Linked DNA regions of Sus scrofa. The protein of the gene in region 6 purifies or fractionates together with the protein of the main gene of each other region. This does not show direct contact. Links are inferred from orthologs where the notes say so. Each region holds a gene or a part of one and is shown on either strand. Other genes may lie near its edges. The genes, in order: MED12L, MED13L, MED18, MED16, MED23, CDK8 and MED21.

The links.
Region 1: the proteins of CDK8 (region 6) and MED12L purify together in Homo sapiens (affinity purification with mass spectrometry; 3 studies listed by BioGRID and IntAct, counting the BioPlex papers as one, with this or other methods). This does not show direct contact. The link is inferred for Sus scrofa from reciprocal best matches to the Homo sapiens genes CDK8 and MED12L.
Region 2: the proteins of CDK8 (region 6) and MED13L purify together in Homo sapiens (affinity purification with mass spectrometry; 6 studies listed by BioGRID and IntAct, counting the BioPlex papers as one, with this or other methods). This does not show direct contact. The link is inferred for Sus scrofa from reciprocal best matches to the Homo sapiens genes CDK8 and MED13L.
Region 3: the proteins of CDK8 (region 6) and MED18 purify together in Homo sapiens (affinity purification with mass spectrometry; 5 studies listed by BioGRID and IntAct, counting the BioPlex papers as one, with this or other methods). This does not show direct contact. The link is inferred for Sus scrofa from reciprocal best matches to the Homo sapiens genes CDK8 and MED18.
Region 4: the proteins of CDK8 (region 6) and MED16 purify together in Homo sapiens (affinity purification with mass spectrometry; 10 studies listed by BioGRID and IntAct, counting the BioPlex papers as one, with this or other methods). This does not show direct contact. The link is inferred for Sus scrofa from reciprocal best matches to the Homo sapiens genes CDK8 and MED16.
Region 5: the proteins of CDK8 (region 6) and MED23 purify together in Homo sapiens (affinity purification with mass spectrometry; 10 studies listed by BioGRID and IntAct, counting the BioPlex papers as one, with this or other methods). This does not show direct contact. The link is inferred for Sus scrofa from reciprocal best matches to the Homo sapiens genes CDK8 and MED23.
Region 7: the proteins of CDK8 (region 6) and MED21 purify together in Homo sapiens (affinity purification with mass spectrometry; 14 studies listed by BioGRID and IntAct, counting the BioPlex papers as one, with this or other methods). This does not show direct contact. The link is inferred for Sus scrofa from reciprocal best matches to the Homo sapiens genes CDK8 and MED21.

Annotation. Positions count from the first base shown.
Region 1 is NC_010455.5:91,270,203-91,274,387, forward strand, and holds the start of MED12L (mediator of RNA polymerase II transcription subunit 12-like protein), read left to right. Parts: upstream 1-1,385; 5' UTR 1,386-1,613; intron 1,614-1,634; exon of another isoform or gene 1,635-1,668; coding exon of another isoform or gene 1,669-2,433; intron 2,434-2,987; 5' UTR 2,988-3,112; coding exon 3,113-3,211; intron 3,212-4,185. Other genes in the region: basic salivary proline-rich protein 3-like, read left to right, coding at 1,669-2,433. UniProt on the Homo sapiens protein: May be a component of the Mediator complex, a coactivator involved in the regulated transcription of nearly all RNA polymerase II-dependent genes.
Region 2 is NC_010456.5:36,326,029-36,329,528, forward strand, and holds part of MED13L (mediator of RNA polymerase II transcription subunit 13-like), read left to right. Parts: intron 1-3,034; coding exon 3,035-3,500. UniProt on the Homo sapiens protein: Component of the Mediator complex, a coactivator involved in the regulated transcription of nearly all RNA polymerase II-dependent genes.
Region 3 is NC_010448.4:85,382,720-85,386,884, reverse strand, and holds the start of MED18 (mediator of RNA polymerase II transcription subunit 18), read right to left. Parts: upstream 2,801-4,165; 5' UTR 2,600-2,800; intron 2,039-2,599; 5' UTR 1,970-2,038; coding exon 1,897-1,969; intron 1-1,896. UniProt on the Homo sapiens protein: Component of the Mediator complex, a coactivator involved in the regulated transcription of nearly all RNA polymerase II-dependent genes.
Region 4 is NC_010444.4:77,489,629-77,493,752, forward strand, and holds the start of MED16 (mediator of RNA polymerase II transcription subunit 16), read left to right. Parts: upstream 1-1,324; 5' UTR 1,325-1,468; intron 1,469-2,853; 5' UTR 2,854-2,898; coding exon 2,899-3,031; intron 3,032-3,590; coding exon 3,591-3,698; intron 3,699-3,956; coding exon 3,957-4,124. UniProt on the Homo sapiens protein: Component of the Mediator complex, a coactivator involved in the regulated transcription of nearly all RNA polymerase II-dependent genes.
Region 5 is NC_010443.5:31,998,207-32,002,091, forward strand, and holds the end of MED23 (mediator of RNA polymerase II transcription subunit 23), read left to right. Parts: intron 1-247; coding exon 248-379; intron 380-2,243; coding exon 2,244-2,411; 3' UTR 2,412-3,385; downstream 3,386-3,885. UniProt on the Homo sapiens protein: Required for transcriptional activation subsequent to the assembly of the pre-initiation complex. Component of the Mediator complex, a coactivator involved in the regulated transcription of nearly all RNA polymerase II-dependent genes.
Region 6 is NC_010453.5:4,113,442-4,116,941, forward strand, and holds part of CDK8 (cyclin-dependent kinase 8), read left to right. Parts: intron 1-891; coding exon 892-1,002; intron 1,003-3,500.
Region 7 is NC_010447.5:46,733,582-46,737,627, reverse strand, and holds the start of MED21 (mediator of RNA polymerase II transcription subunit 21), read left to right. Parts: upstream 1-1,246; 5' UTR 1,247-1,262; coding exon 1,263-1,304; intron 1,305-4,046. UniProt on the Homo sapiens protein: Component of the Mediator complex, a coactivator involved in the regulated transcription of nearly all RNA polymerase II-dependent genes.

The DNA.
Region 1 (4,185 bases), on a different chromosome or scaffold from region 6:
TCTCAGCTGCAGCTCTGATTCCACCCCTAGCTTGGGAATTTCCATATGCTGCAGGTGCTGCCTTAAAAAAAAAAAAAAAAAAAAAAAAGGTAGGGAATTAAGAAGGGAGACCAGCAGAAAACTGTCTTTCACTTTTACCCAAACAGTAGACACACTGCTAACTCATTTTGATTTTAAAGTCTTTATAGTTAGATAGCATTTTGAGTCCTTTACAAGTTTTTTCCTTTGTGGAGGACAATTGGAGGCCAAGATATTCTAAAGGAAGAATTTAGGTTACATCTCCCTACCAGATTTGTGTATCAGCACAAGGCATACCCAAGGTACCATCAGTGATCAATCTATCCACACACCTACTCACCCACCTAGCATCCATGCCACCAGCCAACAAGCATTTTTTTGAGAGCTCGCTATAGGCCAGGTTCCATGTTAAGTAACTATGTTGCAGCAGTGAACAATTACTGTCCCCTCCAGTGTATGTCACTGTTTCGGGGGGTGGGTGGAATTAAAAGAGAATGGCAAAACCTTGGTAATTGTCACAGATGGGAGATGAAATCTTGGGGGTTCACTATGCCATTTTTTCTGTGTAGTGTTCTGATGTATTGACAATTTTCCTAATAAAATTAGGTAACTGTCTAATTGCTGTTTCTCAAGCAAGGAATCTCGATTTGATGGATGCTTATACCCCAAGCGCAAGTTCAGCTTTGAAGTTACACCTAGGGTATAAATGGAAGAGAAATCCTTGGGGGAGGGTGCGGAGAGCTGTCAGGAAATGCCTCTTGGTGGAAGTAACTGTTTTCTAAAAGTACTTGCTCAGACTGAGTAAAGATTTCAAAAACTACAGGCCTGACTTGGCTTCAGGGAAGTGCTTTGGGAAGTGCTAATAGGTCAGAGTCGGGAATGAGGAACTAGCCTCCTACAAAGTTGCCATGCCTTATCTACCCTTTTCTCACCCCTCCCCTCCATCCTTTGCTCAAAGTCGGCAGTGTTAAGTAGATCATTAGGGTTAGCCAGCATCTCCTGAGCACCTACTATGTTCCAGGCACTGTGCAAAGGCTTTGGGTTAGATTCTGCTTCCATCATCTTATAGAGGATGGAACTAGGAGTCTGAGAAATTCCTTAAGGTGGGAGAACCTGACCTTATCGGGCAAGGGCATTTCAGGCCTTCCAATTCCAAGTCGTGGAGAACTGATCAGAAACTTAGGATCCGGCAGAGTTTGCTTTGTGGCTTTGAGCAAGCCACCAGGTCTCCCTAAGCTGACTTGATTTCTCTATCTATAAAAAGAGTACAGTAAAGCCTTGTAATTTTAAAAATTTATTTTATTTTATTTTTTTTAAGGATCAGAGACCTTTACTGCCAAGACCCTGGCACGAAGCAAGGGCTCCATAAATGGCAGCCATCATTCTTGGCCGAGCGCATCCTCCCAGGCGCGCCTCCCGTGAGGTCCCTCGGGACAGACTGGGCCCGCCTCCGCGGCTCCGGTCTAGCAGTGCTCGCGGCAGGTGGCCCAGCATCTGGGTGCCCACGCCCCAAAGCGAGCGGGGAGCGCAGGCGGATTGGATGACCAAGGTCTCCCCTGGAGGATCCCTTCCCTCCCTCCGCAAGCCCGGCGCAGGTGAGGTTTCCGGCTCAGGCCGAGGGGACAGCGACTTTAGGAAAGGTCGAGGAGGATGGCGCAGGCTGCGGCCGGGAAAGGGATCCTGGGGGCGCCCTCTCCCTTGCCCAGTTTCACCCCAGGGCCAGCTCCGTCGCCCCGGCCCGCGGGCTGCGCGCTCTGCGGCTGTGAAAACCCGGAGAGGCGGATCGGAGCGCGCTCGCAGCCAACTCCTCCGCGGTCCGGCAGCCGAGCTGGGCATGCTCAGTGCGGCCGCCGCGCCGCCGTCCGCCAACTCGGAAGCTCGCGCTCCCGGGCCGTGGGGGCGAGAACGCCGGCGGCGGCGAGCCGGCGTCGCCAGCCGCCCCCAGACAGTGGCAAACTTCGCGGCGTCCCTGGAGCTCTCCTGGCCGAGACCGATACCTTACAAATCAGATCAAAGCCAGTCCTCCCCCCATCCCAGCCCGAATCATGGAGGCTGCGGCCGCCCAAGTGCCGCCGCTGTCGGCGGCCCCTGCCCACTAGCCGGGGACCAACAGGTAAACTGTTGGGGGCGGGGGTTGGGAGGGAGGAGGAGCTGCGGCTGGGAAGAGGGCGGCTGGCAGGAGGAGCTCGAGACGCCCGCGGACTAGCTGCCCCCGTCGGCTCTCGCTGCCAATCCTCAACCCCCCTCCTTCCCCAGCCCCTGGAGGGGCAGCAAAGGGTTAAGTCGGCCCCGAGCCACCGTGAGCACGGCCCCCTCCAGCCGCCGCGACCGCCAGCAGTGCGCCTCGGCGCCTTCCCAGAGCCGCCGAGGGGACCCGAGCCGCGGATGCGCCACCGGAGCCCTGTGGGCGTCTAGGAGGCTTTGACCGCTTCCTCACCGTCCGCATCCCTGACTCCCTCATTCCCTCCAGGCCTCTCTCCTAGGCTTCCCTCCTTCCTAGCCAGGTCCGCGCCCAGGTGGCGAGGTCTGCGGGGCGCGTGGTGGCGGGGGAAGGTCTCAGCCGAAGAGCGGGGCAGGGGCGGGCCGCTCCGCATTCTCTCCCTCGGGTAGGAGGGCCACCCTTTCCTTGGGCGAGCACTTGAGCCACCCGCCTGGGGCGCCAAGAAAAGTTTTTTTTTTTTTTTTCCCCCCCCGTGCCCTTCCCCCACCCTGCGCCGGGCTGGGTTGGTTTGGGTCCATTGGTGAAAAAAGTCACACGTTCCCATCAGCTGCTCCTCCCCCTGGGGACTGGGTGGAGGGGACCGGGGGCGGGCGCCGCGGAGGACCCTGGCAGACCTCCAAGCCCCTCCGGTAGCGGTATGTCCCAGGGGCTCCAGCGCAGCGGGGTGCCAGCCTAAGGCTGCCCCCATCAGTGCGTGTCTGCGTGCCGGGCAGCGGCAGCATCCAACCTGCTTTATTCCTGCCTGCAGCGCCACAGCGAGCGAGCAAGGAGGGGGAGAGAGGGAGTCTGTCTGCAAAGTGCTGCTCCCTGGTGCTCAGAGGCGGCTGCTCCAGCTCCAACTCTCATTCATTTCGCCGGTTAACATGAGAGATCATGGCCGCCTTCGGGCTTCTCAGCTATGAGCAGAGACCGCTGAAACGCCCCCGGCTCGGGCCGCCCGACGTCTACCCGCAGGACCCCAAGCAGAAGGAGGTAAGGGCGCCGGCGGCCTCTCCCGCAACTGGAGCCGCGCTCCGCAGCGCTGACCCGGGGCCAAGTTGGCCCAGCGGGGCATCGCCGGCGCTGCGGGGGAAGGGTCGGCAAGCGGACTGGCGGCGGGGTTTGGGCTGGGGGCCTGGGGAACCCCCGGCAATGGAGACGGAGCAGTTGTCAGTCTCCGCGCTCCACTAGGGCGCTAGCTAGCTCTCCCGGTGCCGGGTCGCTTCCCTGTTCCCGGGCCTTGCACAGCGCAGCCGGGCGCTTCACCCGGTTCTTCCTTGCGGAAACCCTCCAGCTCCCTTTCCCCCGCTTCAGCCTGCTTTATTTTTCTCCCCGCCGCTTCGGTAAATCCTCGTAAACTTTTTGAAAAATGTTGGAATGTGGTGCATCCGACACAGGTCTTGGGATTTGCGCCAGCTGAGCAGGGAAGGGGGTGGGGTGGGAGGAAGATCCTTTCTGTTCGAATTTTCCAATTTAGAGTGGAAGTCGTTTTTATCGAAGTGATGGAATATTTACTCTTTGGACGCACTTCTGTTTCCCCTCTCCCCATAAAAAATCAATGTAAAAGGGAAACACTAATTTTCATCGCCGGGCAACTGGCTTAATTACTGGAGGCTGTTTTGTATATGTAAAAGCAGTCGGGTTACCTTGGAAGGGACTAGGTTCCTGAGCTGTTAATTTCTTTGAATGAAATTAATTGGAGAAACCTGACTCTTGCTCTAGATACACTAGCTTCAATGGCTAGAGTAACCATGACATTTTGTAGCCATGTATATGTTTGTAGTTAACAAGTAATTATGTAACAACTCTTCAGTTATAATGATCACCCCTGGCTACACAATTTGCCCAGGGATTTGCCTTTTTTTTTTTTTTGAAGATCACCTGCTACCCAGCTGTGCTTTCTGAGTTTGCCAGCTGCAGCCCACCCATCCTCTGTTTTCTTGAGCTACACATGAAGTGAGCCTATT
Region 2 (3,500 bases), on a different chromosome or scaffold from region 6:
TGAGACATTCATCTCTTAACTGTGGTACTGTGCCCTGGAGATTTAAAGTCCAATTTCTGCCTTATTGACAATAGTCTTATGCATAGATAACCTTCTTCAAAGTCAGGATTATTTTTTTAAGAGTACCAAAGACTTTGAGTACCAAAGAGTAGTTTCATTTTTTTTTAATTTTAAAGTTTTATTGAAGTATAGTTGATTTACAATGTTGTGAAAATTTCTGCTATACAATATAGCGAGTCAGTTATACATGTACCCACATCCATTTTACATTATTTGATTTTATTTTTTTATTTTTTGTCTTTTTAGGGCTGTACCCGCAGCATGCGCAGGTTCCCAGGCTGGGGGTCGAATGGGAGCTATAGCCGCAGGCCTACACCACAGCCACAGCAATGCCAGATCCAGACCACGTCTGCGATGTATACCACAGGTCATGGCAACACTGGATCCTTAAACCCCTGAGCAAGGCCAGGGATCAAACTGCATCCTCATGGATACTAATCAGATTGATTTCCACTGAGCCATGATGGGAACTCCCATTCTGTTTAAGATGCTTTTGCCATATGGATTATCACAGAATATTGGGTAGAGTTCACTGTGCTATACAGCAGGTCCCCAGTGGCCAGTCATTCCGTGTATCACAGTGTGCATATGCCATTCCCAGACACTCAGTCCATCCCTCCACTACTGCCTGTCTGCTTTGGTAGCTGTAAGTTTGTTTTCAAAGTCTATGAGTCTGTTTCTTTTCTGCAGATAATTTCATTTGTATCCATTTTTTAGATTCCTCATATAAGTGATGTCATATGGTGTTTGTCTTTCTCACCTTTAGAAGTTATAATCGAGATATTTTCAGATGAGACCTTCATCTCTTATTGTGGTACTGTGCCATGGATATTTAAGTCCAAGTTTTGCCTTATTAACAATAGCTTTATGCATAAGCAGCCTTCTTCAAAGTCAGGATTCTTTCTTTCTTTCTTTCTTCCTTTCCTTTCCTTTCCTTTCCTTTCCTTTCCTTTCCTTTCCTTTCCTTTCCTTTCCTTTCGTTTCCTTTCCTTTCGTTTCCTTTCGTTTTCTTTCCTTTCTTTCCTTTTGACTTTTGTCTTTTTAGGGCTGCTCCCAGGGCATACGGACATTCCCAGGCTAGGGGTCAAATTGGAGCTGTTACTGCTGGCCTACGTCACAGCCACAGCAACACCAAATCCGAGCCGCATCTGCGACCTACACCACAGCTCATGGCAACACCGAGCAAGGCCAGGGATCGAACCCAAAACCTCATGGTTCCTAGTCGGATTTGTTTCACTGCGCCACAACGGGAACTCCTCTCTTTCTTTCTTGGACTGCACCCACGGCATGTGAATGTTCCCAGGCTAGGGGTTGAATCAGAGCTGTAGCCGCTGACCTACTCCACAGCCATAGCAACGTCGGATCCAAACCGTATCTGTGACCTATACCATAGCTCATGGCAATGCTATATCCTTTAACCCACTGAGCAAGGCCAGAATCGAACCCACATCCTTCCTCATGGCTAGATATTGGTCGGACTCTTAACCACTGATCCACAGTGGAAACTCCAGGATTTTTTCTTTTTCTTTTCTTTAACTTTTTTTTTTTTTTTTTTTTTAAGAGTACCAAAGACTTTGGTAAGAGTGTTTTCAGATTGTCTGCTGCAGGATTACCAACCCCCTTATGGAAAGGTCCACCCTTCACACTGTTTAATGGCTTTATAGGGCAGGGTGGCCATCCTGCTGTCCCACTAAACCATCCCATTATACCACACAAATTCATTTTACTGCTCACTAGGGCATCATTTAGTGCAGTGCAGCAGTAATTTAATGCCACCCTGGTGGCCTCAGAGAGTTACTGCTACACTGGCAGGAGAGCTTACATTTTTCCATGGGAATGAGTTATATATTGGGAGGAACTGGCTAACCTGTTATGTAACTTTTTTGCACAGATTAAATCTTAGCATCATCTAGTGGGCCCTTATGGAGAAAGCTTGCCTTGCTTGCCAAGAGGTGTATTAGGATGTGAATAGACTTGTTATTCCTGCTTATATAGTATAGATACCTTTGTATATGTGCGTCATTTTAATATTCTCACAGCCTTTTTACTTGTCTCATTTTAACCTGTTTGTGTAAGATCCGAAGTTGTCTTTTATACAGTCTTTCTTAGATGATAGTAGCATATAAGGTTCGTAGTATACTATTTATCCTATTGAATATTCTTAAGGCTGACCTTATTTTCTTAGTTTCCCACTTTGGGGGAGAGTTGTATAGTTATTTTATTCCTGAATTACAACTTTGTAAGTTTTATAAACCATTCTATATTGGACTTACTAGCGTGTTGTAAAACAGAAATTGAAAGCTTTTTTTTTTTTTTTTTCTTGACAGATGGTCTCATTACTCTTGGTTTTAAAATGCAACATGAACAGATTATCTAAGACCCTCATCAAATTTGAAGGATTTGGGGATTTTTCAAATTAGTATTTTTGTAGAGGTTATGAGTATCATTTTAATCAGTGTTTCTTAAGTCTACCTCTTATCTACCTAACTTATATGTGATTGGTTCATCATTTTCTCTTAGGGGGTTTTGCATTTTTTAGTCCTTATGAATATATTTAACACCTGGAGTTCACTTAAATGTATTAGTGCACATAATGTATGTTTTAAAAGACAGAACCTTGTCAGAAGTGTCTCTTCCATAATATTACAGTGATGCAGGAGTTCCCATCATGGCTCAGTGGTTAGCGAACTCGACTAGCATCCATAAGGACATGGGTTCGATCCCTGGCCTCCCTCAGTGGGTTAAAGATCCGGCATTTCCATGAGCTGTGGTGTAGGTCACAGACACAGCTCAGATCTCATGTTGCTGTGGCTCTGGCATAGGCCGGCAGCTACAGTTCCAGTTGGCCTCCTAGCCTGGGAAATTCCATATGCCACAGCTGTGGCCCTAAAAAGACCAAAATAAATAAATAAATAGAATGATGCATTTATTTTCATCTGCGTATCTATTGACTTCATTTTAATTCTCATTTCAGGCATAAACTTTTAAAGCGTTGTGCAGTAGGACCTAGTCGACCTCCCACAATATCACAACCAGGGTTCAGTGCAGGACCATCATCATCTTCATCTTTACCACCTCCTGCTTCTTCTAAGCACAAAACAACAGAAAGACAGGAAAAAGGAGACAAGTTGCAAAAGAGACCCTTGATACCATTTCATCATAGGCCCTCTGTGGCCGAAGAGTTATGCATGGAACAAGATCCACCAGGACAGAAGCTAGGGTTGGCAGGGATAGACTCCTCCTTAGAGGTGTCTAGCAGTAGGAAGTATGATAAGCAAATGGCCGTGCCTTCCAGAAATACAAGCAAGCAAATGAATCTGAATCCTATGGATTCACCTCATTCCCCTATTTCCCCTCTGCCGCCAACACTCAGCCCTCAGCCACGAGGTCAGGAAACGGAGAGTTTGGACCCACCGTCTGTCCCTGTGAATCCAGCCCTC
Region 3 (4,165 bases), on a different chromosome or scaffold from region 6:
TATGCCAGAGCCACAGCAACGCGGGATCCGAGCCGCGTCTGCAACCTACACCACAGCTCACGGCAACGCGGATCGTTAACCCACTGAGCAAGGGCAGGGACCGAACCCGCAACCTCATGGTTCCTAGTCGGATTCGTTAACCACTGCGCCACGACGGGAACTCCCTGAATTTTTTAATAATAAAACATTTTTTAAAAAAGATGTTGAACTGGAGTTCCCGTTGTGGCGCAGTGGTTAACGAATCTGACTAGGAAGCATGAGGTTGCGGGTTCGATCCCTGGCCTCGCTCAGTGGGTTAAGGATCCTAAAAAACTGCCTCCCCCCAAAAAAAGATGTTGAACTATTGTGTGAGAAGAGACAGATGATCAAAAGTGGAAGCAATGCAATAAGCACAAAATTACTAAAATAGTTCAAAGGATGATAAACCAAGCCATTGCATGTGGAGAAAAGACATATTTAATATATATTTTGGAAGTAAAATAAACAGAACTAGAGATAAGCTATAGGTGAGAATAAAGTGAAAAAATGGAGATTGATTCCTGAATTCATAGCTTGAGCAACTGGTGAATGACAGGCACTTACTAAGATGGAAAAGACTGAAGGAGGGACAGCTGGAAGAATGAAAGTTAATAACCCTACTTCGTTCATATTAAGTTTTTTTTTTTTTTTTGTCTTTTCTAGGGCCTCTCCCCAGCATATGGAAGTTCCCAGGCTAGGGGTCTAATCTAGGAGCTGTAGCCGCCGGCCTACGCCAGAGCCACAGCAACGGTGGGATCCAAGCCGTGTCTGCAACCTACACCACAGCTCATGGTGACGCCAGATCCTTAACCCGCTGAGCAAGGCCAGGGATCGAACCTGCAACCTCATGGTTCCTAGTCGGATTCATTAACCACTGCACCATGACGGGAACTTCCATATTAAGTTCTTAAATGGATAATTCAAAGTCTAAACTTTTTTGCGAAACATTATAAGGCCTCCTGAAAATCATTACACTGAGTTTTGAGCTTTCTCATCTGGGCAAGTTACTTCAATTCTATTTCCTGATCTACAAGAATTAATAATAGTATCATAAAATTATCATATGATCCATTAATTTCACTTCTGGATATTTAACCAAAAGAATTCAAAGCAGGATCTTGGAAGAGATATTTGCATACACATGTTCACTGCATTATCCATGTTAACCAAGAGGTGGAAGCAACCTGAATGTCCAACAACAGAAGAACAGATAAAGAAAATGTGGTATATACATACTATAGAACATTATTCAGCCTTTAGAAAGGAGATCCTGTCTCGTGTGATAACACGGGTAAACGCTGAGGACATTATACTAAGTGAAATAAACCAGTCATAAAAAGACAGATACCATATGATTCCACTCATATAAAGTTATCTAACGTAGTCAAAATTAGAAACAGAAAGTAGAAAGGTTTGGAATTCTCCTGTGGTGCAGTGGGTTACTCATCCTGTGTTGTCATTGTAGCTGCCAGAGCTGCTCCTGTGGTGTGGGTTCGATCCCTGGCCTGGGAACTTCTATATGCCGTAGGTTCAGCAGAAAAGAAAATAAAAAAAGAAAAAAAAAAAAAGAAAGTAGAAAAGTTGTTGCCAAGGGCTGGGGGGAGGGGAAAGGAAGAATGAGTACAGAGTTTCAGTTTTGCAAGATGAAAAAGTTCTAGAGATTGGCTATACAACAATGCAAACATATTTAACACTACTAAATGTTATGCTCAAAATGTTTAATGCTATATGTTTGTGACCATAATTAAAGCCAAATTGAAAAAAAAAAAAAAAAGAGGTGCCAGAAATTATGTAGCCTTTGTATATTAGCCTTTCATCTCCATGGAACCTGAACAGAAAAGAGGAAATCAGGTAATCTAAGCTCCCTAGTTCACTTACCCTGCAGCAGGTACTCCATCATGTTAATGGTGCCCCCGGTGACAGGCATCATAGTGACTGGAGGTGCCTCCATGCTATCTGTTTAAGTTGAAAGCAACAGAACCGGATTCAGAGTCCCAGTCAAATAAAGCACAGGACACACCTGGAAAAGAGTTATGCTTGTTAATACATCAGAGAGATGGAGAGACACCAGATCTACCTGGGTCATTAGCCTTAACATCAAAAGATTCATTCATTCATCCAGAACTTTTTGAACAACTTCCATAAGTCAGTTTCAGGAATTGATGATACAGAAATACACAAAGGAGGCCTGATCATGGAGTTATAATCTTTCAGTCTCAAGGTCTGAAACCTTCAGTTTCAGAATTTCCTGTGCAATAAGCCATCAAACCGCTGACCCTGGGATTCAATGTCTTCCTTATAAAATGAGGTCGACATTTAACCCCCAAGGCTTTGTGGCTCAGATGACACAATAGCCGTGAAATAATAGAACTGAGAGGTGACTCCCCTTCAATTTGGAGATGAGGATACTGACACTTTGGGTGGGGGTTGGAGGGAAGGATACAGAGCAAGTCCATGGCAGAGATAAACCAGACAAAAATCTAGGCGTTCAAAACGCCTTTGAAAGCGAGCCAGACAGAAGTGCGAAGTTCTTCTGACGATTGAGGTCCTCCTACCCCACCATCGACGCGTGCCTACTCACACCAAAAACACACCTCCGCGCGTGTTCTAGCCTTTTCTGGCAAAGCAGGGAACTGAAGCCACCAGAGCACCTCGGAGCTTTTTAGCGATAATTAGCCCCCAGCACTGAACTTGAAGACCCCCACCCCCCGGTGGAGTGCAACACTTTCTCCCCTCCACTTCCGGCAAAAAGTCTCCGTCGCGCAAATCTTGACATCACCATTCTGCGACGTAAGGGTGCCGGGAAGGCATAAAAATCATCTCTGCGGCCTGGCAAGTAGAAGCGCATGCGCAAACTGCGATTCTGCGTGGAAGAGGGCGGCCTTCCTGAGCGCGTTCCTCGGGGCGTGAGGGGGACCTTGACATCAAAGGCAGTCCTCCCGGAAAATATTTTCCTTTTTTCAAGTGTGACGGCCTGGAGTTGTTTTTGTCAAGGAATTCTTTTGGAACTTACAGGGGGAAAAGAGAGCCGGGGGAAGAGAGCTGAAGAAAAAAAGAGATCATAAAACCAAAACTTCTTTTGGTTGAGTACCTGAAGATAAGAAGGAAAGACATCTTTTACTGTTTAGCAGACTGTTCTGAACAATTAGGGAACTCAGCAATACATTTGATATTTGTTCACTCTTCTGTGTTTATTTTACCTCAATTCAAAAATTTTGGGAGATAAGTAAATTCAGCTCATTTATTGAATGTTGCTTGTGTGTCAAGCATGTAAAATGCAAAGAATGGAGCTAGAGTATGGTGGTTGAGGCACTCCCTGGAGCGAAAAATTTAAGGGGCACCAAAACTCCTAACAATTCAAAAAATTGTAATGCAATCTTTTACGAATTTAATGTGGAAAAAAAATCCTTAATGAACAAAATATTGGAATTTTTGATCTTCACAGCAGCCCTGTAACCCAAGTATAATTATTACTTAATTTTACTAATGGAGAAACTTAGGCATCAAGAAATAACACACCAGGGAGTTTAGACTGGGGTACAAATTTAAGCAGCTGCCTGATTTCAGAACCCACCCTCTTAATTGCTACACATCTTTTTTTTTTTTTTCTTTTTAGGGCTGCACCCTGGCATATGAAAGTTCCCAGGTTAGGGGTTGAATCAGAGCTTCAGGTGCTGACCTATGCCACAGCCACAGCAATGTGCGATCTGAGCCGCATCTGTGACCTACACCACAGCTCATGGCAATCCTGGACCCCCAACTCACCGAGCAAGGCATATAGAAGTTCCCAGGCCAGGGTTGAATCGGAGCTGTAGCCCCTGGCCTACGCTACAGCCACAGCTGTGCCAGATCGAAGCCAAGTCTGCAACTACACCACAGTTCATGGCAATGTTGGATCCTTAACTCACTGACTGGGGCTGGGGATGGAACCTGCATCCTCATGGGTACTAGTTAGATTCATTTCTGCTGAGCCATGATGGGAACTCCTATACAGTCATTTATAATTCCAGTTTCCCCTGCTGTAATTTATACTGTCTTACTCATTTACATTTTTAAACTTAAAAAAAATATTACCCACATTTTATCTGACATTTCAAAAGTAGGATTAAATTAAAAAAAAAAGAATAGGTAAGAATTGGGTGAACAA
Region 4 (4,124 bases), on a different chromosome or scaffold from region 6:
GTGTCACCCTGGGTTATCTGCTTTTATCCTGATTGCCCTTCTCACCTGGCCCCAATCAGGGGTCCCTGCTGTCCACAGGGCTCCTCACTGTTGAACCTCACCCTGATCTCCATTTCCCTGAAGATGGATTATCTGCCTCAATTACTGGGAATCCTGCAGGTGACATTTGTCTCTTTCCCCCTGTGTATTTATTTATTTAACTGTTTATATCAGTACAGACGCCTGGACATTCGCTTTCTTGTTTGGGTTACAACACAATATCCTTTCATTTTGTTGCTCAGATTGTTCCAGGTTTGGATACTGGGAGCTCTTTCAGTGATTCCTGTCTCACTGAGGCGGGGTATTTATTTATTTGAGCACCGGGCTCCTCTGCATATTTGTGCTGCCTTCTAGAACCAGGCATTTCGCCCAGGAGCCCAGTTCCTTTCACTGGGGCAACGTTTAGAAACCAAGAACTGGGTGCTAAGTGTGCTGAGTTCCATTTTAACAGGCATTTTAAAAAGTTTTAAACACAGATGCTAAATAATGGAAATCCAAATGGCTCAGAGGACATCAGGAGATACTGGATTAACCAGCTTGGAGGCTCCCACCTGTGAAGGGGACCGAATTTCTGGTGCCTGGAGGCCAGTCTGGACTTCAGGGCGCGGGTGTGGTGGCTCTAGGGGACTCCACAGGCCTCCTGCACTGACACACAGACTCGGTCCTGCGGCTGCCCCTAGCTGGCTGTTTTCTTCCCACTCCGATTCCCTGAGCCCGGCCCCCATACCTTTGCCCAGGCGCTAACTGCAGCCCAGTACACCTTCCCCGAAATATCAGGAGGTCTTCCTAGAAAAGACTTTCCCAACTGGGGAGAGCCCGACAGAAAAAGAACCAGCTTTTGATAGCGGGAGACGAGTGAATCCAGAGAAGCCCACGACTGGTTAAGCCGTCTTGCTTACGGGGAAAAGAAGCAAGGAAAAGCAAAATATGGAACGCTTCACGAATTTGCGTGTCATCCTTGCGCAGGGGCCATGCTAATCTTCTCTGTATCGTTCCAATTTTAGTATATGTGCTGCCGAAGCGAGCACGACACCGGGGTTAACCCGACCGCTATTTATAGGGCGGAGTATAAAATACTTTACGCTAAGGGTGAATTCCGTTTAGAAGAAAAATACTCAGTAACTTGTCTCTTCTTTTCTGATATCAGTGCAACAATAGCTTAACAGAATGAGGCTACTCACTGAAGTTGAGAAAGTGTTCTTTCACGAAATATAATTCGGGTGGCTGTTGGGAAACTATCAATGTATGTATGCAAATTATATCGGTAGTGGGGCGGGGCCGGAGCCGCTGCTGTCCCAGAAGTCTCCGGGAAACGGCCGCGCTACGTGGGCGACTCGTTGATCCGGGGAAGATGGCGGTGCCGTAGCCGCGCCGATAGGTGGAGTGCAGGCCGTGGCCGTCCGCTCGGCTGGGAGAACAGGCCGTCCCGGTGAGCGGGGACTGGGGACTTGGGCGTTGGGCCGGCCTCAGGACGGTGCCTACGGCCGCGGCGGCGACTAGCGGGCCGGGGGCGGGGCCTGTAGGGTTAGAGGGCGGGCCTGGAGAGCAAGGGGTGCTGGGTACGCGCCCGGGAGCACGTTGGGCGGGGGGGGGGGGTCGCGACGGAAACTTGGGGGAAAGTCTGAGGCGTCTGGGAATCCGGGCACTCCGAGCTGGGGAAAATCGGGGCTGGGCCTGGAACCTGATCAGGGGTTGGGAGGTCTAAGGCTGTATTTTCCTGGGGAGGGGCCTGGGGATTCTGGTGGGCTGGAAGGCGGCCACTGGAGACCAGCACCTGGCTATTGGGTAGTGGTCCCTGGGGTGGAGCCTGAAGTGGCAAAAAGAGGCGGGACTTGGAGGGTTGGGAATTTGGAGGTGGTTATAGGGAGGCGAGTTGTTTGGGAGACCCTGGGGAGAGAACAAATTTAAGCTATCCCTGGGAACACAAGGGGCAAATTGGGACTGGGGTCTGGAAAGCAAATATTGTAGGGGGCGGGGCTGGAGAGCTTTGAGGGCAGAGCTTAAAGACTGCTGAAGGGGCCTCTGGGCAGGGCCTTGGGGTTCCTGGCCAAGGCTTGAGGAAGCGGGAGGCCTGGGGGAAGTGATTGAGAAAGATGGGTTGGTCATACAGTCTCATTGGGTTCTGGTAACGGTGAAAATAACCGTAATCAATGCCCGGCACATAGACAGCAGGTGGAAATGTTCATTGTTTCCGTTGCGGTTGTTACCTTTGAAGTGCTGCACCAAGCTGCTGCCTGCCCCCCATCCTGCCTCCTTGCCTCTGCCAAAGGCTTCTCTAAGGATAGAGCAGTCCCACCTCTCCTCACTGCTTCATGGTCCCCATCATTGTTCACCTGGACTGGCATGGTCACCCCCACCCTGTCCCTAAGCCTTTCTCTCCAGACAGCCAGAGGGGTGTGTGAAACATAAGAAGGTCTCAGCTCCCCTGGGGCTCCCACCTCACTCAGGGTGAAAGCGCAGGCCCTGCATGACCCACCCCACCCTCACTTTACCCCTCCCTTCCTCTCACTCAGTTCCAGCAACATGGGCCCCCTGCCGCTCCTTGATGACCCTGGGCTTGGTCCAGCTTCTGGGCCTTTGCACTGGCTGTTCCCCCTGCCTGGGATATCCTTCCTCCAGGCTGCATTCCTGGATCCCTCACTTCTACGCTGGGAGGCCTCCCTGGCCATCCATGTGTCAGATATAGCTCCCCTGACATACACAGAGCAGGGATTGAGTCTTTGGGTCCCTGCAGTGACCCACCATCCAGCACTGCGCTCTGGGCCCTGAGGCCCTGCATGAACGTCTGTGACAAACTGGTCCTCCCTCCCTCAGAAGCTGGTGACCGCCCTCTGTGTATGACCTTGGCAGCCGGGCACCATGGACCTGGCGTACGTCTGTGAGTGGGAGAAATGGCCCAAGAGCACGCACTGCCCTTCGGTGCCCCTGGCCTGTGCCTGGTCCTGCCGCAACCTCATCGCCTTTACCACGGATCTCCGAAACGACGACCAGGGTGCGCCCCCTCCTGCCCCCCGCATGGGCTCGTGCCCCAGTGCCCATGGACCTCCAGGCCTGTCCAGTCTCTCAGGGTTCCCTCATGTGTGATGAGGGGTGGTGAGGGCCCAGAGGGCACCTGGCACCAGGGGGCACTGGAATCACCCCCAGGGGATGGACCTGTCCAGATGAGGGTGGTCCCCAGCCCCTGCTGAGGCTCCTGCCTGAGTTTTCCAGACCTTATATGTCACTGCTTGGCTTCTGAAAGCCTCTGAGCTGCAGCCTGCCTGCTGGGCCTGTGTTCTCGCTATTGTTGAATGACACATGCTCCTAGAGGAAAGGAGAAAAACACAGACATTTTGGATGAGGGGAAGAAAAAAAGGCATTACCTTCCCCAGAGAGCCACTCTCTGTTAGCATTTTGGGTTTGTTTTTTTCCAGTTCCATTTTCTATGTCTCTTTTGAAAGTGGTTGTAGCCTCTCTGGAGGCAGAGTCATGGACCTGCTCCCATTACCCCTGGGGTCATCAGGCACTCGAGGCCCTGCCATTGTTGCCGCTGACCTGGCCCTCCTTTGCAGACCTGACCCGCATGATCCACATCCTGGATACGGAGCACCCCTGGGACGTGCACTCCATCAACTCGGAGCACAGCGAGGCCATCACCTGCCTCGAGTGGGACCAGTCAGGTGAGGGTGGGGCTCACCCTTGATCTCAAATCCCAAGCTTACTTGTTCTGTCTTTTCCTGGTCATGTCCCCACTGTCCAGAACTAGGATGAAAGCCCTGGCCTTGTGGCTTTTCGGCTCCTTCTCCTCCCATTTTTGGTGACCAGAGTCGTTCCTGGGAGACATGTGTGCCATGCCCCTGCTTGTCTCCCATCCCAGGCCCCAGATGTACTGGGGGGGGTGCTTTGTGACACAGGCTTGCCCCCCTCTTCCCCTGCAGGCTCCCGGCTGCTGTCGGCCGATGCTGATGGGCAGATCAAGTGCTGGACCATGGCAGACCACCTGGCCAACAGCTGGGAGAGCCCAGTGGGCAGCCTGGTGGAGGGGGACCCCATCGTGGCCTTGTCCTGGCTGCACAATGGTGTGAAGCTGGCCCTGCACGTGGAAA
Region 5 (3,885 bases), on a different chromosome or scaffold from region 6:
TTCTAGAAAAGGGATTGTCTGCCTCTTAATTTGAAGAGAAATTACTACGTTAGGAAAAGAAATTGCATTTAAGCCCTATTAGTGTAGCAGACACCCTGTAGCTCTCTGGATTCCGTTATAAATGCAAGCAATATAGTGTCCTTCATGTGCTTAGAGGTCTGTATAACAGTGACAGTTCCTCAACGAATATGTTATCTATCCTCTCATTTTTGACCATTTAAATCATTTTATCTTGTTTGTTAAATAGATTGGTGTGGCCTTTTATGACATGTTGCTGAATGTAGACCAGTGTAGCACCCACTTAAACTACATGGATCCTATCTGTGACTTCCTGTATCACATGAAGTATATGTTCACTGGCGACAGTGTGAAAGAGCAAGTAAGTTAACTTTATTTTTAAATGATGTTTAGTTTAGAAAACTTAAACATACACCATTGGACTTTGTTGTTTGAGTGAGTAGGGTTTTTTGGTGCATTTTTTTTTTTTTTTTTTCTTTTAAGGGGACAAGGCTAATGGACCTTTTTAGGTTACACGAGCACATTATTCTGGATGTAGTATTAAAGTAAATACCTATTATAATTTCTCACACTTTCCCCCCTTGGTATTTGCAACAAAACATCGAAAAAGACCTGGGGGGTTTATTAATAGTAAACTCATTAGGAAGAAACAGTACATTATGGCTACTGGAAAGATCAGAGAGGCCTTACGTTATGAGTGAAGCAGGGCCTAGCTTTCCCCACAGTGATTAGGATACACTGTCAGGACATCAGACAAACTGCAGTGTAACTAGAGGACTAAAGCTGTCAAGAGAATAACTAATGAAAGGTATTTGAGGGAACCTGGGCTGCTTAACTTGAATTTTAAAAGTCCCAGGGAATTAATTGTATCCTCATTACTATTTAATTGTATCCTTATTACTATTTGGTTGACATCTAGAATCAGTATTAAATTTGTTCTGCATCACTTTAAAAGGCATACAAACTCTGGTGAAGTTAAAGGGAGGCCTGTTCTGACCCAATGTACAAAGAGCCACCCCCTGGTAAGGTGGTCTCAAAGTAGAAAGGACCTCCTTAGATCATAATTGAGGTTTCTGTCTGTGGGAAGCAGAATCTTGGCTCTTTTAGAAGGGTAGAGGGAGGGTAGGTGGAGGTGAAGTTAAGTGATCTCCTCTCCATTCTTTAATGTTATTTCTTTCTAAAATGAGAAAGGAACATAAATTGATACGCATAAACCTGTGAATTCTAGTCTTCGGGATTCATTCTTGGAGCTTGACTCCTTTATGTCTCAGCAAGATTGTCAAAGAGCACTGAATGGGACTAGTACAGAAGTGTTGTGTTTAGCATATCCCTTCTATCTGGGCCTAGGAAACTTTGACCCAATACAGAACACAGGAAGGAAGAATTTTTAATCGGAGTTCCTGTCTTGGCCCAGTGGTAACAAACCCAACTAGCATCAATGAGGATGCAGGTTTGATCCCTGGCCTCGCTCAGTGTGTTAAGGATCTGGTGTTGCCATGAGCTGTGGTGTAGGTCACAGATGTGGCTCAGATCTTGCATTGCTGTTACTGTGGTGTAGGCCAATGGCTACAGCTCCAATTTGACCCCTAGCCTGGGAACCTCCATATGCTGTGGGTGCGGCCCTAAAAAGACAAAAAAAAAAAGAGAGAGAGATTTATTAATGGGCTGATCAAATGAACATTTGAATAAATTAAGAAAGCCATGGAACTGCTTTCTTTAAAGTATTTCTTTAAGGTATCTTAAGTAAGAATAGAGCTAATATTTAGTTTGAATTCCAACTGTTAATCAAAACCAAAAAAAATGTTAGCTTTATAGATAAATCTTATGAACATTAGTTATTCAAAGAACTTTGAAATAGAATCATGCTTCATGCTTCTGTGAAGATGGCATTTTAAAAGGATGGTCACCCTCGTGGATGTGTAGAATTCCCAGTGTGAACTATACTAGCTCTTGGCAGTGGGATAACTGGCTAGCTGGGTACGTGAATATCTTTGTGTATGTGCATGTATATATATATATATATGTATATATATATAAGAGACAGCACATGTTTTCCTCATGTAAGAGAGAAGTAGTTTTATCTGCTTTTGTTAAAACATAAAATTTCTCATCCACTCATTCCACTCCCTAGTTTATTGTCTCATGATCTGGGTAAATTGCTTCCTTAAAGGTAGGAAGTCGAAGTTCTCTGGTTAAAATATCTTTTTAATGTGTTTTCATTTTAGGTAGAGAAGATTATCTGTAATTTAAAACCAGCTTTAAAACTTCGTCTTCGATTCATCACTCACATCAGCAAGATGGAGCCAGCTGCAGTGCCTCCACAAGCCATCAGTAGTGGGTCTCCAGCACCGCAGTCCAGTCAGGGGCCAGTGTCTCTACCTGTGACTCAGTGAAGTCAGAGTGTGCTGCAGTGAAGTGGAAAGGCGTCCGTCTTTGAAAATGGACTCGAATTATTAAATCTGAACATGGTCATGCTGCATAGTGAGTAGTCAAAGCAGTGACGTTCAGATTGTTTTATTTTGATTCAAATGGTGAATCTATTGACTCCAACTCCCTTCCCCCTATATATGTTGTCTCTAAGAGATCAAGTAAGCTACACGCTGTTCATACCTATAACAGTGCATTAGAGCTACCTGGGAACAGGGAAGTACCTACCAAGTGACTTGTACAAGGCACTCTCAATCTTTCCTATTTTGGCCATTGTTTTTGTTTTGTTTTGTTTTTTAGTATTAATGACTTATTCAGTCTTTAAATACATTTTTTAAAGTCACCACACATATAAAATAGTTATTACAAATCCTTTTATACATACATCTCTTTTGGGATATCGTTGGGATAAGAGATTATTGTCAAGTAAAAGACTCTAGAATTCATTGCATTACTGGAGCAAGAATACTTTCATACTCTTTTTAAAATGGCTTATTTTTTTTTTTTTTTATCATAGATACCCAAGTAAATAAGCTAGTTTTTCTATCACAGTATATTGGCAAGTTTTTGCCTTTGCTGTGGACTTGAACTTACTGTATGAAATGAGTTGAAAGCCATGTAAGAAAACAAAGCTAGAATGCATAAACTTAATGAAATGATGCTTAAGTGATGATTATTCAATCTCTGCTTTTAAAAATTAATTGCTTTTCGAGATTGCCATTCTTATCTGGCAGATGATGTGATTCTTTGAATTTTTATAATCTTAAAATTTTTAAGTATTTATATTTTTAAATATCATGTACATTTTGGTTCTTTAGAATTTATTAGATTTTGAGAGACTGTTAATTGGGGGGAGGAATGACATTAAAATTGTAAAAGATTTGAAAAATAATTTGTAAAACCTGTTGAATGAATAAACTGATTAATTACCCAGTTTGAATGAGTGTCTGCTCTGTGCCAGGCAGTGGACTGTCTGGGTTAGGACAGAGAACTGAGCTACTTCCACAGGCTGTACACTATAGTTGGTGACCGTCATTGACCTAGGAGTTAAAGAGTTACTGATTTTTTTAAGAAAAAAAAAGAATTAGTGAAGTTTAACCAACTATACTTCAAATTTTAATTTCCACATACATTCCTCCTAGACCTTTATCTTGGTGGTTCATATTATCATAATTATTTAATTTTTATTGCTGTGCAGGGACACCTTAAAATTTATATAATCATATAAGAATTTTTCCAAACTAATAATATTCTTAAAATTCTCCAGAAATTTTATGCTAGAAATGATTTCAAGTATTACTCTTAACCTAGTCTCAGCAATATATTCTTGCTGCCGCAAGGTATATATTGTTTTGAGATCCTAGAGTGGGAATAATTGTAATACTGCATAAAAACAGAATAAAAGGAAATGAAAATATATAAGGACATACACATTCCAAA
Region 6 (3,500 bases):
TGCAGCGCTGATAGGAATGTAAACTGGTACAGCTGCTATGAAAACCAGTTTGGTGGTTGCTCAGGAAGTTACACGTAGAGTTATCCTGCGACCCAGCCGTTCCACCCCAGGGTATTTACTCGGAGAATTGAAAGCAGAGACTGAGGTACCTGTCTGTACAGCCGTGTTCAGAGCAGCATTATTCCAGCGGTCACAACGTGGAAGCAGCCAGTGTCCATGAGCTGAAAAGGGGACACACCAGTCGGGGTGGATCCATAGTGTGGAATGTGCTCATTGGTAAAAGGGCGTCAAATTCTGACCCAGGCTACAACGCGGAGATACCTTAAAGACGATGAGCCAAGTGAAACAAGCCAGACATAAAAGGACAAAGGCTGTATGGTTCTCTTATGCCAGGTACCTAGAGTAGGCACATTCGGAGAGACGGAAAGTGGACTAGAGGTGACCAGGGGCTGAGGGCAGAGGAGAGGGAAGCGTTGGTGTTTAGTGGGCACCGAGTGTCTGCGGAGAACACTGAGGCGGTTCTGCAGTGGCTGGTGGGGCTCGTTGCCCAGCACTGTGTGTGTACCCGTGCTCCCGAGTTGTACACTGAAAAATGGTTAAAATGGTCGTTTTTATGTCATATTTTTACATTATATAAAAAACTAAAACAAAGAAACCAACCAAGCAATAACGACTGTACAGACAGATTTACTAAGTTATATCTTTTCCCACAGATTTTTTTTTTCCTCATTTGTTACCAAAGCACCTCTTTAGTATCTCAGAGTTGTGGGGGTACTTTTAGTATTGATTCACATTAGGTTTTAGTATTGCCTTAGAATTGCAAATGGGGTGGGGGTTTTAAAGTGTTATCTTTATGACAAAGATTTTTAATGCATCGCCTTTGTTTTGCAGCTACTTCGAGAGCTTAAGCATCCAAATGTCATCTCTCTTCAAAAGGTGTTTCTGTCTCACGCAGATAGGAAAGTGTGGCTTCTGTTTGACTACGCGGAACATGACCTCTGGGTAAGGTGACTTGCTGGTGGCCGTGGACGTGTGGTTTCGGTCAGGGATTGAGAGGGACTGAAAACAGTCTTAGGAGCTCATCTTACTCTGCGAGGCCCACTGTTAGAATAAAGGTAACCCCATAGAACGCGGTTGATGAGTGACCAAGGCCAGAGCATGGCTCTGTATCGTTACCTCTGATCTTAGCAGCTTGGTCTGTGTAACACACTGCAGAAAACAGTAGACCCTGAAGAGTGTAAACAGCTCTCTAAGAATGGTTTCCTAGCTGTATTTTGCATTTATTCAGCAGATTGTTTTTAAAATGGGATTTATACAGGTCTTAAAAATTATAAAATTTACTCCTTTATTAAATATAAGTTACATTAAAAAAAAACCTAAAGTGCTAACTTGGGGATAAGACTTTGTGGTATATATAATGGAAATCTATAGTAGGATAGCTGAAATAATTTTGAAACATACTCACAAAACTTATATCGTGATCGTTTTTGTATTAATGTGTTAGCAAAGATTTCAGTAGAAGAAACAAAACAAGTAAACAAGTTTATTCATTAACAATTACTTTGCTACTGTGAAATGTTTTTTTCTTTATGTATTTTTTCTGATATTTAATAAGTAATTAGGTCTTTGAATATTTCACTGTGTTTTGCATACCGGTCTGTATTTACCAAAAAGCATGACTGAGTAATTATTGAGCTAAAAAAAAGGGAAAACTTAAACTGATATGCAAGGGATTGTAAGTATCTTGGTTCAGTTTCACAGTCTTCAGAATGATTTTTATTTTCATTGAGCTGTAGTGTGTAAATACAAATTCAAAATTTTGAAATAAAACCAGCACGAATTCCAATAAAACTATTTAAAAGTAAGTTCACCTTCTGCAAATAGTAAAATAATAAAAACTTTTTTGCTTATTTCCAGAAGTAGCTCCATTTACATGATTTTAACTTTAACAGATTTCAGAAATTGAAACTTATTTTAGTTTCATTTGCTTTCAGATTTATAAAGAATATTTTCATCCTGTTTGTAGAGCCCTATTTTCTAAACTAAATGTGATTTGATTCAAGTTATTTTTATTTTTCTAAGTTATCTGGAAGGAATTGTTCTCAAACAGAAAAAAATACACATGAAATCTTCTGTTTTATGAAACTGTTGTCCAAGGTCCGTGATGGTTGTAAATGTCTTCCTTTTTTTTTTTTTTTTTTTTTTTTTTCCGGTTGGCTTCTCTTCTTTTAAAAGAAATCTGATCAAATCAGATTAGGTTTCTATTAATAAAAATTCATTCAATCAGGGTGGCCAATATTGAATTGAGCACTCATCATACTCAAATTTAACAAAATTATATAATCCAAATTATGGAAGTATTTCCAGGCCGGTTTATAAACATGATTTGTAGTCAAAGGTAGTGGAGCAAAGGAGATGGTATGGTATTCAGTGTGGCTTCTCGCCAGCAGGTGTGGAATATTTAATTTTACATGCAGGTATCGTAACTGCTTTCACGAGCTACTACGCTGCCTGTAACACGCTCAGAGATGGTCACCACTGACTTCATCATCATCTTACCGACACTCACTTAAACCAGATAAATACTTTCAATGCTCATTTTAATAAAAACGCAGTAGTGGAGTTCCCGTCGCGGCGCAGTGGTTAACAAATCCGACTAGGAACCATGAGGTTTCGGGTTTGATCCCTGGCCTCGCTCAGTGGGTTGGGGATCCGGCAACGCCGTGAGCTGTGGTGCAGGTCGCAGACAAAGCTCAGATCTGGCGTTGCTGTGGCTGTGGTGTAGGCCGGTGGCCACAGCTCCGATTGGATCCCTAGCCTGGGAACCTCCACATGCTGCGGGAGCGGCCCTAGAAAAGGCAAAAGACAAAAAATAAATAAAGAAAAACCCAGTAGTAATTCAGTTTACTAAAACCTACCCTTTTTCCATTTTATTTTCTTATTTTAATTGGAATATTGAAATGAATTTAGCTGGGTCAGAGGGTAACAAAAATAGTTGCGGTAAAAAGAGTCAAAGAAAGATTCTGTTAAAATCGCTTAGGTGTTGGTGACATTTTATGGTATCCATATCCCATTTGTTTTAACGCCCTGGAATAAAAATAAAAGGTAAGGAATTGCCCCCACTGTTTCTGTACTTAATTGGTAAAAAAAAGCAATTTGTAATGCCCTAATGAAAATAGTAATGAAGAGAAATGTATATGGCATCAATTGATTATTTTACCTTCCTTACGTATTTGTTCCTTTTATTCTTTCTTTGTCAGGCTTTAATTGTTTTGTTCATGTATTTCCATCTTTTTTGTTTTCAAAGCTCTGGGAGCCACTGGTTCTTCTTAAGGTGAACAGGCCTGATCGGCACTGTCATTTCTTAGGACAGGTGCCGAAACACTCTAGATCGCTAAGAGTTATTGTAGCTCTGTTTTGTTTGCCTGCTCGTACATACTCTGAAGAAAATTAAAATCATGTAATGCTGCTCAGAAAGTACAGATTAATCGTGCTCCATC
Region 7 (4,046 bases), on a different chromosome or scaffold from region 6:
TGGGTCCTGTTCTTAAAACCACATGCTCCAGTTGGGGATTCAAGAAAAGCACATGAGGAGTTCCCGTCGTGGCCCAGTGGTTAACGAATCCGACTAGGAACCATGAGGTTGCGGGTTCGATCCCTGCCACTTGCTCAGTGGGTTAACGATCCGGCGTTGCCATGAATTGTGGTGTAGGTTGCAGACGCGGCTCGGATCCCGCGTTGCTGTGGCTGTGGTGTAGGCCGGTGGCTACAGCTCCGATTGGACCCCTAGCCTGGGAACCCCCATATGCCGCAGGAGCGGCCCAAGAAATGGCAAAAAGACAAAACAAACAAACAAAAAAAAAAGAAAAGCCCATGAAAAGGCATATGTGAAAGTGTCGAAATCATAAAAGGAGAGAGGAGTAATCCATGTGGACTCTAGTAATTCATAAAATTTACATGAAAATAGTAAAACTTAGAAAAAAACCCCCTTTTTTTTTTGGCCGCACAGGCATGTGGAAGTTCCCTGGGCCAGGGATTAAAGCTGTTGAACCAGTGGGATTTGGAAGACCCTAACCACTGTAGTCGGATTCTTAATCCACTGTACCAGTGGGAACTCCCAAGTATTCTTTAGTTGTTCATTGTGTAGGCCATGTGGTCTACCTAGAAAGCCAAAGCAATGTAAAATAGGTATTCAAGGTGATGTTTAAAAATGGATACAAACCTTGTGGCTCAGCAGGTTACAAACCAGGGCTAGTATCCATGAGGCTGCGGGTTGGATCCCTGGCCTAACTCAGGGGGTTAAGGATCTTGAGCTGCAGTGAGCTGTGGTGTAGATCACAGATGCAGCTCGGATCCCTCCTTGCTGTGGCTGTGTCTGTGTCTGTTTTGCTGTAGGCTGGCAGCTACCCTCTAGCCTGGGAACTTCCAGGAGCGGCCCTTCAAAAAAGAAGAAAAAAAAAAAAAAAAAGATACAAAGAGGATAGGGAAACTTACTTAGAAAAACCGCGAATCCAGTCTCCACAAAGTGTTTACTTAAAAGCCATGAGAAAGTACATTGGCTCACCCCAGAAGCCCCCAAATTACTAAACGTGGGCCCAGCGGAGCTTCCCCCAGGTGCAGCTGGTCTGAACAAAAATAAGCCTTAGGAAAGCCCAGCCGCTTAGCGCGGGGAGTGGAGTTCGGCTTGACTCCACCCCCTCCACGAACTCAGCCCTGTGATTGGTCGTGACGCTTACCAAAGCTGCCCAATTGCATCCGAGCAGCTGCTTTAGCGTCTCTTTGTTTGCGGGGAGAAACATGGCGGATCGCCTGACACAGCTGCAGGACGCCGTGAACTCGGTGAGCAATTGTACTCGATTAGTCTCCGTCTTCTTTCCTGAGGGAAAGCAAGTTAGAAAAAGGGACTTGGGGGGCAAGCTTGGAAGTGGGGAGCGTCTTTCCGCAACGCACGCTCGGGTCGGCGGGAGGCGGCGCCGCGGTCTGTGAGGCCGAGGCGGCCGGTGGAATGGTGCGGAGCTGCGGGAGCCCGCGGCCTCAGCCTGCGAGGTGGAGGGTCTCCCTGCCTAGTCTCAAGCCTCACGGCCTTGTCATGTTTTCTAGGAACGGCTTTATTTTCTTGTCAGCGGTGCTTATGGGGTCGCCCCTCTTGCGGGGAAGAGAGAGGAAGCGGAAACTCCCTCCCGCACCCATACATTTTAACCCTTGGAGGGAAACCCGTGTTCTTAACCATTGGATTGGACCTTAGCGAAGAGTAATCCTTCGCCCAAATTTTCAGGTTGGGGCGGGAGTGACGGTAAAGTGAGTAATTTTGTTTCATCTCGGTTGGTTCCTGTAGACTAAGGGTCGTTGCATCTCTTGGCCACTCCCCCAGCGTAAGTCAAGTTTGGGGAAAACTGACATCTTTATGATAGTGAATCTTCTGATCCTTGTCTCTTTAAGTTTTTAAAAATGTCTGCCAAAAGTTCTACTCCCTATTAAAGTCAGATCTTGTAATTGGCCCTCTTACTTTGAACCTTCTGATTATTTTTCCTGTTATGTGAAGTGAAAGTGATGCAAACCAAGGGATTCATATGCTTATTACCGTTAAGAGCTAAATTGTTTTCTATCGGTAGTTACATTTCTCTCATTCTGTTTGTAATTTGATGTCCCAGAGAAGATGCCTATAGATGTTGACAGGAAAATCCAGGTACCTCTTGCTAGTTTTTTTTCTCACTAGAAGGAAATAGGCTGGCATTCTTGTTATTGCTCAGTCTTTGTACGTGAGCAATAAGTGTGAATGTACACATATTGAGTGTGAATCTGCATGTTAAAAACTGATCTACTTTGCCTATGAGGGCCAGCCCCTAAATGTCGATGAATTCACCAAGGTAAATTCTACCTTTGGTGACTTTTCTGGACTACTGAACAACCTACCTTGGGGAGACAGTCCTTTGAGGTTTTACAAAATCAAATTGTAATGATGCTACTTGATAGAAATGTTATTTTAGGGGAAATATCGCATAGTCATCCATGTCTCCTGGCCAGAAGGATAGTAAGAACAAAGTGAATATGGCCTTTACTCCAAAAGTAGGCATACTGATTTTGCAAAGAAGCCTCTAGGTTAACTAGTATGTGTAGAAGCACTATAATGTTTATGGAGAGATGCTCCTTAAGGAGTTTGCAGTCTGATTAGAAAGACGTCATATACTCAAGAGACATTTAAATAAATGACACAAAAGCAGTATATGGTTAGGGAGTTGAATCGAGTGTTTTCAGCTGTAAGTGCTGAAGTAAAGTGGGCTAGTGAGTGCTGTTAGGAGGGAGTCTTAGTGTTTTTCTGACTCATAATTGTAAAATTTTTAAAATATAATTTTATCCTCTGAGAACTTCATGAGAGCAGAAACTGTCTTGTTCACGCTCTAACTTAGAATGTTTATATAGTTATATACAGTTGATATATCATAGTGTTGATTTTTGATAAATATTTGGTGACTAACTGGATCTTGAGAGCTTCATAAGGACATAGTCACAGTGTTGAATATTCTTGTATTTTCTCTGTTCCTCATAACAATGCTGTAATGTGAGAATATTCCCAATTTAAAATTTCTTTTAAAACTCTATTTGCCAGAATTAGAATCCACATTTGTACAGCTTCAGAGCACTTATGGCCACTCCCTTACATTTGCAAAATGTGAGCAAATGCAGTGTTATCAGGAATGAATTTATCACTAGTCAGGAATATGAAAGAGTAGTAGGTAATGAACAAGTTGAGTTGACCTAGATTATTGAAAGCTTGGAAAGAGCCTTAAAGAGTTGGAGATTATCTTGAAGGCAATGCTAGGGTGAGCTCAAGATTTTTGAGCAGGGTTAAGTAAATGACATAGTGAGCTAGAAAATCATGAGGCTATTGTAAATAACTCTTATGTGAGGTAATTGGTTGAACTAAAACAGCAGCGCGATGGAGGAGGAAAAGGTAAAGATTTGTAGTAGTATTAACAGGATTTGAAGATGAAAGTTGAGAGTCTGAAGGTAGATTGGTTGACTAGAAGATTCTCAATACAAATTAAGTATTAAAGGAAACAGTTAACTTTGAGTTCTGTCATTCTAATGATGGCAGTCAAACTTAGTGGAAATACTTATTCACTGATTGCAGATAAGGAATTGAGGTTTAAGAGGTCAGGACTGTTGAGAGAAGTTGGTGGGGAGGGTAAGAGTCTTAGGTTTGGAAATAGTAATGTTACCAAGCCAGATGTGTTTGCTGAGGGTGCAGTAATCCAAACACTGAGATGCCTGAAGTTTGCAGCAGAGGAGGGCTTTATTTATTCAGGAGACAGCCAAGTGAGGAGAAAGGAGAACAAATTTCAGATTGCTTCCCAGAAGGCAAGAAGCTTGAGGTATTTATGGAATAAAGAAGCAGGGTGGTCTCAGGAGTGGGGAAAGGTGAGGTATTGGCATATATTTCTGTTATTTTATGATCAGTGGTCCCAACTATTCTTAACTGGTCTGAACTGGGTGGAAGCCCACTTCAGATTTTCCAAATTTCTGGAAAACAACTTAATAAGCTCCTCTTACCTTGGTGACCCATACATCAGGAGCATTATC